Linked DNA regions of Tamandua tetradactyla. The protein of the gene in region 2 interacts with the protein of the main gene of each other region in a biochemical or structural test. Links are inferred from orthologs where the notes say so. Each region holds a gene or a part of one and is shown on either strand. Other genes may lie near its edges. The genes, in order: OPRD1 and GPRASP1.

What was found.
Region 1: the proteins of GPRASP1 (region 2) and OPRD1 form a complex in vitro, tested with the Homo sapiens proteins (2 studies listed by BioGRID and IntAct). The link is inferred for Tamandua tetradactyla from reciprocal best matches to the Homo sapiens genes GPRASP1 and OPRD1.

Annotation. Positions count from the first base shown.
Region 1 is NC_135328.1:197,341,676-197,345,581, forward strand, and holds the start of OPRD1 (delta-type opioid receptor), read right to left. Parts: upstream 2,767-3,906; coding exon 2,540-2,766; intron 1-2,539. UniProt on the Homo sapiens protein: G-protein coupled receptor that functions as a receptor for endogenous enkephalins and for a subset of other opioids.
Region 2 is NC_135353.1:70,949,496-70,953,401, forward strand, and holds the start of GPRASP1 (G-protein coupled receptor-associated sorting protein 1), read right to left. Parts: upstream 2,896-3,906; 5' UTR 2,655-2,895; intron 2,261-2,654; exon of another isoform or gene 2,150-2,260; 5' UTR 1,995-2,149; intron 1,469-1,994; 5' UTR 1,404-1,468; intron 1,057-1,403; 5' UTR 977-1,056; intron 660-976; 5' UTR 342-659; coding exon 1-341. UniProt on the Homo sapiens protein: Modulates lysosomal sorting and functional down-regulation of a variety of G-protein coupled receptors. Targets receptors for degradation in lysosomes via its interaction with BECN2.

The DNA.
Region 1 (3,906 bases), on a different chromosome or scaffold from region 2:
TCAGTTCGGATCACAGTTCTTATGTCTCTACCATTCTCTAAAAATTCTAAGACAAAAGAGGAGGAACGAATTTTGCACCCCTCCTTCCATGCAATGAACTGACTGACACTCCTACCCCAGGCAGCTCTGGAAAAAGTTCTAGACTTGGAGTCACAAGACCAGAGTTCTAGCTGAGGAAAACAAGTCATCTTGCCTCTCTCTGAGCCACAGAAACCTCATCTGAAAACTGAGAAGGAGAATGATGATGATGATCTCTACTGCCTGGTCCAACGGCTGTTGGTGAGGATTAAATAATTCAGAACCAGAGATACAGTTATCACATAAATGGTCGGCCAGGGAAATATCGTAGCAGCATGGGGACCTATGGAGACCAGCAATGTTGTAAGACGATTTGGGGAGGATGGTTGGAAGTGCACCTAGCAGGCTGAGCCCAGAGCCTCTCCAGAGTAGACTCTCAGAAGTGGGAGGCCCTCCCCTTGCTCACTGGTGGTAGAGGGATGTGTGCTCATCAACCCACCAACCACAGGGCCCTGGAGCAGGGGCTGCAAAAGGAACTGAACACACCAAGGCTCAGCTTTCCCCAGGCTTGAGCACCTGGAGCTCCCCTAGAGACAGCGGATGCCAGGAGCCTGGAACTCTCCAGCTAGCAATACTCAACAGCTACCCTCAGCACAAGCACCTCCCTCCCTTTCTCTCCTTTAATGGGCACTGGATTCTGCAGAATCTGGAAAATTCCTCCTGTTCATCATACACATGGCTTTCAGTTACTGGGGCCAAGCACCAGGCCAGCTACATTACATTTTCTCTTTCACTGATATTTCACAATACCCTGTTGAAGGTTCTATTACTTTCATTGCATAGATTAGGAAACTGAGGCTCAGAGAGGCTAATGACTTGCCCAAGTCTTAGAGTGAATATATGGCAGAGCTAGGATTAATGCTCAGGTTGTCCTAACCATAAAACCTTTGCTGCCTCCGAAGACAAAGAGGAGAGAGTGACTAATAAAAATGTAAAACAAAGATCATATCTGCCTGTTACTTGGGGGAATTTTCCCACTGTAGCCGGGGGTGAGTCATTGAAAGCACAGGAAATTCCTGAACCCTCCACTTTTCCTAGGGAAGCAAGGATGCTGCTACTGATGCCAAAGGTCTCTCAACACTCCCACATCCCACCTCTCCATGCCCCAGCACACAATGCTCCGCCCTGCAGAGACCCCATACTTTGGAATTCTTACTTATCAACTGAGGAGTTAGGGTCTCTCTTTTTCAGACTGGGAAACTGAGGCAGATGGGAGGTAGGATGGAGGAATGAGCCCCCCACTGTAATGGGCATCAGAGACTAGGCTGAGACCACAGTTCACATTCAGCCTCTGAGTCCACAATCTGCTGTCTGCACTGTCTAGTGACACCACTGCCCAGAGAGGTTTAGGGTTTAGAGGTCAACCAGCATGGACAACCCATCTCCAATTAACAATAAACACCAGGGCACCTGTGATGTTATAAGGATGGGAGTTTCCTCTCAACCCTTTTTGCCTGTGTTTGAGCTAACCGGGTTGGGTCAGGAGGGCTGCTTCTGGGGCAAGCTGATGACATTTTAGACTCTCTGAAAAGGTCTTGGAACTGTACATAGATACTAAAAAGAGAACCTCACTTTCCTGGGTGAAGGCACAAACTCCACTCCAGCCCAAACATACCACTGCTGTACCTGGCCAAAAAAAAAAAGATGGGGGGGAGGAGAAAACGGGAGAGGGCATTTGTGAGGAGGATCTGGGGCCTTTCTGAATCATGTCCAGACTTCCTGACTGGAAGGCTTACTAGGGAAAGGAGCAGGAACCGACTGTGACCATCAGACCCACAGCGGCCGTGGGTCACTGGCAAATGCAAACACAGTTGTGCAAACATACATCTCTGACGCCACTTTGGAAACCCTAGGGTTTCAGGGGGTTGACAAAAAATAACACAGTCATACTGTCACATTCTCATACATGGAGAATCACAAACTGACACACGCCAATACAGGGACTCCAATAGACCATCACCAAATGTAAATTGGTAAGTGTCCTCACAAATGCCCACCCTACCTGTACGGTAGGTACCCACACACTCTCCCCCAGAATTCCACGGCACCTTGACGCACCTCCACCCACTGCAGCCAGGTCTTAGAAGTCCAGACATACAATACATTTGTACTGTCACAAACACAGAATCACTCACTCACAAACTGACAGTCACACAAACTGTCACCAAACTGTCTCACACACCCTGCTGTAGCAACAAGGGGATGCCAAAAGAAGATCAAATGTTAATTTCGCTAAATGCGCGCGTGCACACACACACACACACACACACACACACACACACACACACACACAGATTCCTGCGTCCCACTCTCGCATGGGCAGGGGCCAGTGGACCCTGGGCGTCTCCTGCAGGAAATGCAGAGATCCAGAGAGTGTGGAGTTTGGGATCAGCGTCCCAGTCCGCGGTCCCCACCCTCACCCCGGGGTCCAGTCCACGGCGCCATCCTATAGAGGACTCACCGGACGATGCCGAACATGACGAGCACGTTGCCCAGCAGCCCCACGGCGCACACCGCCGAATAGAGCGCGGTGATGGCGATGGCCAGGGCGAGGGATGAGGCGCTCCGTGCGCCCGGCGACCCCGACGCATTGGCGCCGGCACTCGGGAATGCGCTGGGGAAGGCGTCCGACGCGTTGGCGAGGAGCGGGGGCTGCAGCTCGGCGTCAGCGGAGGGGGCCGGCTCCATGGCTGCCGGGCGGCCGGGGCCGAGTCCTTCCCCACCGTGCGCCCTGGGCGCAGGGACACGGTGCGAGGGGCGCGCGAAGTGCCGTGGCCGCGGCCCCGACGCCGCCGGCTGCAGCGCCCCTGCGGCCGCCCCGCTTTCTGCGAGCCTCCTGCGGCTGTCTCACCGCTCGCCCCGGCCCTGCCACTGGCGCACGCCCACTCTCCTTGCCCTGAGCGCTCGGAGCCAGGAGCCGCTGCGGGCTCCTCGGACGCGCCCGCCGCGCGCACCACGTGGCCCGGAGGCGGCCGCCAGTCTGCGCCCGCGACCGGGGGCGGGCGCGGCACCAGCGGCTCGGAACTGGGTGGGGGAGGCCTCCCACCCTCTACCCGAGGCTGCTCCGGGGCCCAAACTCCCGCCCCGCTCCCGCCAACCGGGGCTCACCTCCCCACCCTCTTTGCGGCTTTGGAGTCAGGAGAATCTGAATGGGAATCCCGCCTTTCTCCCCTTCACTAACGACCAGAGTGACCTCGAAAAAAGTGACCTAACCTCTCTCAACTGCATTTTCCTAGGCTGTTAAATGAGGATAATCGCACCACCTCCCTCAGAGGGTTGTTGGGGAGATTAAATAAGATGAGGTGGGTAAAGAATTTAGCTCAGTGCCAGGCACACAGTAAATAAATTGTTATTCCATGTTTTTTCTTTTACTCCATTCATTCACTCAGCACATTTCTAACTGCCTAATGCAAGAGCTAAGTGCTATCAGAGATCCCCGGGTGGGCAAACTCAGATGCTTACAGCCCACGGGGGAGACAGCAATTCTAAAATCACGCGAAGGAAGAAATACTTACAAATTGAGAAAAGTAAATATAAGGAATACAATCCAGTGGCAGGGTCTTTGAAACACTGGGGTAAGGACAGTTTCCCTGAGGAAATGACACAAGGTGAGATGTGAAGTTTGAAGAGAAACTAATTTAGGGAAGAAATAAGGGAAGAGTGTTCCAAATGAAACATATGTGCAAAGGTCCTGTGGCAGCAGGGAAACCTGTTGGTTTCCTGGAACTGAAAGGAGGCAAGGAAGCAGTGAATGCAGGGAGTGAGTTGGGGGAGAATGGGATGAGGTGGTGGGAAGAACCTAGAAGACTACCTTAATTACTCGGGCTG
Region 2 (3,906 bases):
GAATCAGTAATGATGAGTGGACAAGCCATGCCATTGGACGGGTCCACTACCTCTGACTTCGACATTGCCCCAGCCCCAATTTCAGTCAGGGCACATGCAGGGGGTTCTTCACTAGATCTTGCCCCAGGGATGGCCTTGGCCTCAGATGGAGGACATGACCCAGGAATTGCCATGACCACAGTTTGGGGTCTTACTCCAGTCATTACCTGGGACTGGGTCCTAACCTTGGGTCTGACCACAAGAGGGACATCAGACTCCCTCTCAGCCCCATCAGCAACCACTTCTCCAGTCTTCTTTTCAGATTTAGCCTGGGTTCCAGGCTCAATCTCAGCCCCAGTCATGTCCTAGTTATAAAGGAGGACCAGACCTATAGCCCAACCCCAGTCTCAACTTTGAACACAAATCTGTCACAGGTTTGTATCTTCACAGTCCAATCTTTCAGTGATTCAGGCTACAAAGTCGGAAGCAAGAGTTAGTGTCAAATGCCAGTCCAGCAGTCAATCAGCTTCGTTCCCAAACACAGCCTCTGCCACTAACAGACTGCAGAGCAGGTACAACCAAGCTGGGAAGGTTGGATGGTTCCTGGGTGGGCACAGACCTGATGAGGGTGGTGGTCGGGGGCAACTCTACCACCACCAGAGCTGTCACTGGAGGTGGATCTAGGGAGAGAGAAAGGAAAAGGGCTTTGAGCCTCTTCCAAATGTTGTCACCCCATGCAGAAATCCACACATGGAGACTGGATACTGAATGCTTGGTGAGACAGTGGAGCTCTCGGAAAGAGGCTCTGAGCCCTCATTTCATCTGTGTGCCTTACCCCTAGGGCAGCCAGACTACTTGATCGGCTATAAAACAAGTGGAAATGGTGGGAAAGTGGATTTGAAATGGGAGCAGCTGAGTCATCACACTGGACCTTGATCATTACAGAAAACATGCTTGCTTACATGACTCCACCCCATTACCCCACTCTCATACCAACCTGCACTGATATGATGCAATTTTCCCCTCTCTTCCAGGCTTCCAGCAGTGTCAAGTCTCACAGAAGACCTGCAGGTGATCCTACAGTCAAGTAAAGAAACAAGAGTGCATAAATCAGGAGCACATGGTAGACAGGCACATACTCTGGCCCCCGATGCAAATCCCTCCCTTTCCATTCAAGGGTCCAATGTTCCCACTCCTGGCCCCTACTCTCAGGTCTTCTCCTCTCAAACACAGCCCGACCTACTCCTACCCAAAAATTCCCAATATTCCCTGAATGAAATGCACAACGTTGTGGCACAATGCTGTGGCACTATGGAATCCTGGCAGAAAAGAAAGGTGAAGGAGGCCCTGTGCCAGCTTAGATCAAAGCCTTCTGCCATGTTCTTACTCTTAACTTTCCACAGGCATTCCCCCTTCAAACCAACCTCCAGAGACAAGCAGCTGTCCTCCTCCTTTGTTCCTTGCAGAAGCCACCAGCCTTAAAGCAGAACTAGGAACAAAGAGAATTAAATGTAGCATAGTCAGGAGACAATGATAGCAACTAGATGATTGGTGAGCAAACCAATACCCAGGATAAAAGTCCCAATATTATCTGCTTTTCAACATTTAGAATCCTGTTGGTAGATTATTCTCCATTTCTCCTTTAGGCTCTCTAAAGTTCCAGAGATGATTACACCATTTTTTCACCTCCCTCTCTCCCCATTAACTCCCTTCTGCAATTCTGAGGATTCACCACTAGAGGGAACTCAACCCGTGTCCTACGCAGCAAAAATTGGGGGATGGGCAAAGGCATATTCTAGAAAGCCGTACCTGTACCTGCGACTCCCTAGCCAACCCTAATCTCCAAAGCTCATTTATTTTAGGGGAAAGGGGGTGAAAAGTGCTTGGAACATTGACAAAGAGGGAAATATTAGGAGGTGCCTCAGTATCCCCCCAGACCTGCTCTGGTCAGTCACCACACCCTACTTCAGGGTCTCCAGTCAGGGATCGCCTCCCACTCCCCTGTCCCCACACACCTCTAGAAATCCAAGCCATTTTCCTGCTCCTGCTTTTTTTCAAGCCTGTCCTTTAGAGCCGCACACTGCAGGAAGACAGACTCCGCGAGACCTACCGCGCAGACAGGAGACTCTGGCATCAACAGGGCACCCACAGGAAGAAACCGGGCCCAGAGCTGCAAGGAAAAGCATCCAACATGCGGGGCCCAACAGGCACCTTCCCAGAATCTGGGCCGGGAATGGCGAACGCGACCGTCCACCTGCCGCCTCCGCGCAAAGCTCTGACGCCAACCCCCGCCTCTGGCGACCATCCCCTGCGACCCCCACCCCAGAGCCTCTCCAAGATCGCCCCCACAGCAGCCTCTCCACAGCCCTCTCCCAGCACAGACGCGGCCGGGGGCGGGGCAAGGGCTCCTGGAAGGCTGGCCGGGAAGCGGGCTGCGCGGTTCCTTTCTGCACGACCCGAGGGTGTCTCTCTGGCCACCTCTCCGCCCTCGGCCTGGGCCGCGCCGATCTCCGCATCTTCGCGTCAGGGGTCTCCCGGCGCTGCGCACCTCTCTCAGAGGCTGGCTCGGACCGCATTCTCTCCTCCTTGCCAGGATCCCAGGCTCAGAAGGGCAGGCCATCCACGGTCAACCGTGGCGACCACCTACCCGCCCCGGTCCCCCCGCCCCCACTTGCCTTTGCAGGCCCAGGGCCCAGCTCGTCGGCCTCCCCCTCCTCTCGAAGCTCCTCAGTCGCAGTCCCACCGCTCTCCGTGCCGGGTCAGAATCGCAAAGAGGCGCTCCCGCCCCCCACGCTGCAGAACCAAACCCAGCAGGGGCTGCGCAGGAGTGCGGCACGAATGGCTGGTGGCTAGAGTGTAAGGAAGTGGGGGCGGGAAGGGGGCGGAGGGATATGGGCGCGAATGCGCTCGACGCCCCCTCCCAGGCCCACCATAGTTCCGACCCAGAGGTGGGCGGGGCCAGGAGCCCCAGCCCGGGGAAGGCGGGTTGCCAGCTGGATGCCGCAGTGTATGCGGCCCCTTGTGTGGCGACCACCAGCACGCTTCTGGCACTAGGATACCGTATAGGGGAATGGAGGGCTGTTGGGGTGGGGGCAGGACCTGGTGGTCAGGTAGAGCCGTGCGGGAAGGAGCAGCGGATGAACACCGAACTGCGGCTTGTTGCGTATCATCTTTCCAGGGTGTTGATGGGAGATGGGGTGTCAGGAAAGCAGGGTGACGGGGAGAGGCGATTGAAGGCCAGAACACACTGGAGGGTCTAGAGGTGGTCTCTCCCATGTTCTTCCCTCATTACTTCAATGTGACAGAGAGAGGAGGAAGGAAGGCTCTTAATTAAAGTCGGGGGAGTGAGCATGGGGGTGGTGGTGGGGGCCCTCCTATAAGGTCCTGTCCCCTGCCCCTCTTCTAGAAGAAGGCACATCTAGACCTCTAACCCTAGGAAACAAACCATTCCTCTGTCTCCATCAAGAATCATTCTGTCACATTGCTTTTTTCTCTCCATTCGAAATGGCAGCTTTTCTTGGCATTACGGGGTTGCCAGAGTTACCCAAGAAAGAGGGCCTTTCTCTGTCAGGACGGGCACTGGAATACACAATCCATTCTGTCCATCTACTTGCAGCCACACCAGGCAGGGCCTACCCTGGCTCCTCGTCTGTCCTGTCAGAGCTTCCCTTCCCAGTCACACCCAGGCCCTGATAATTGGTGGCAGTGTGGAAATGCAGCAGTGATTCAAACCAGCTTGAATCTCGGGACCTTGCATTGTCATGTCTAGTTGTGCCAGGCCACTCTGTAGGGATATCCCCCACCATTCACACATTCCCCAGGACTGCTGGGGAAGCCTAGCAGTTCTTTCTGAATCTTGTTTCCTCATCTCTACACATTTTCCCCAGTCTTTAGCCCCTCTTTATCAAGTTCCAAAGGACAAACAGA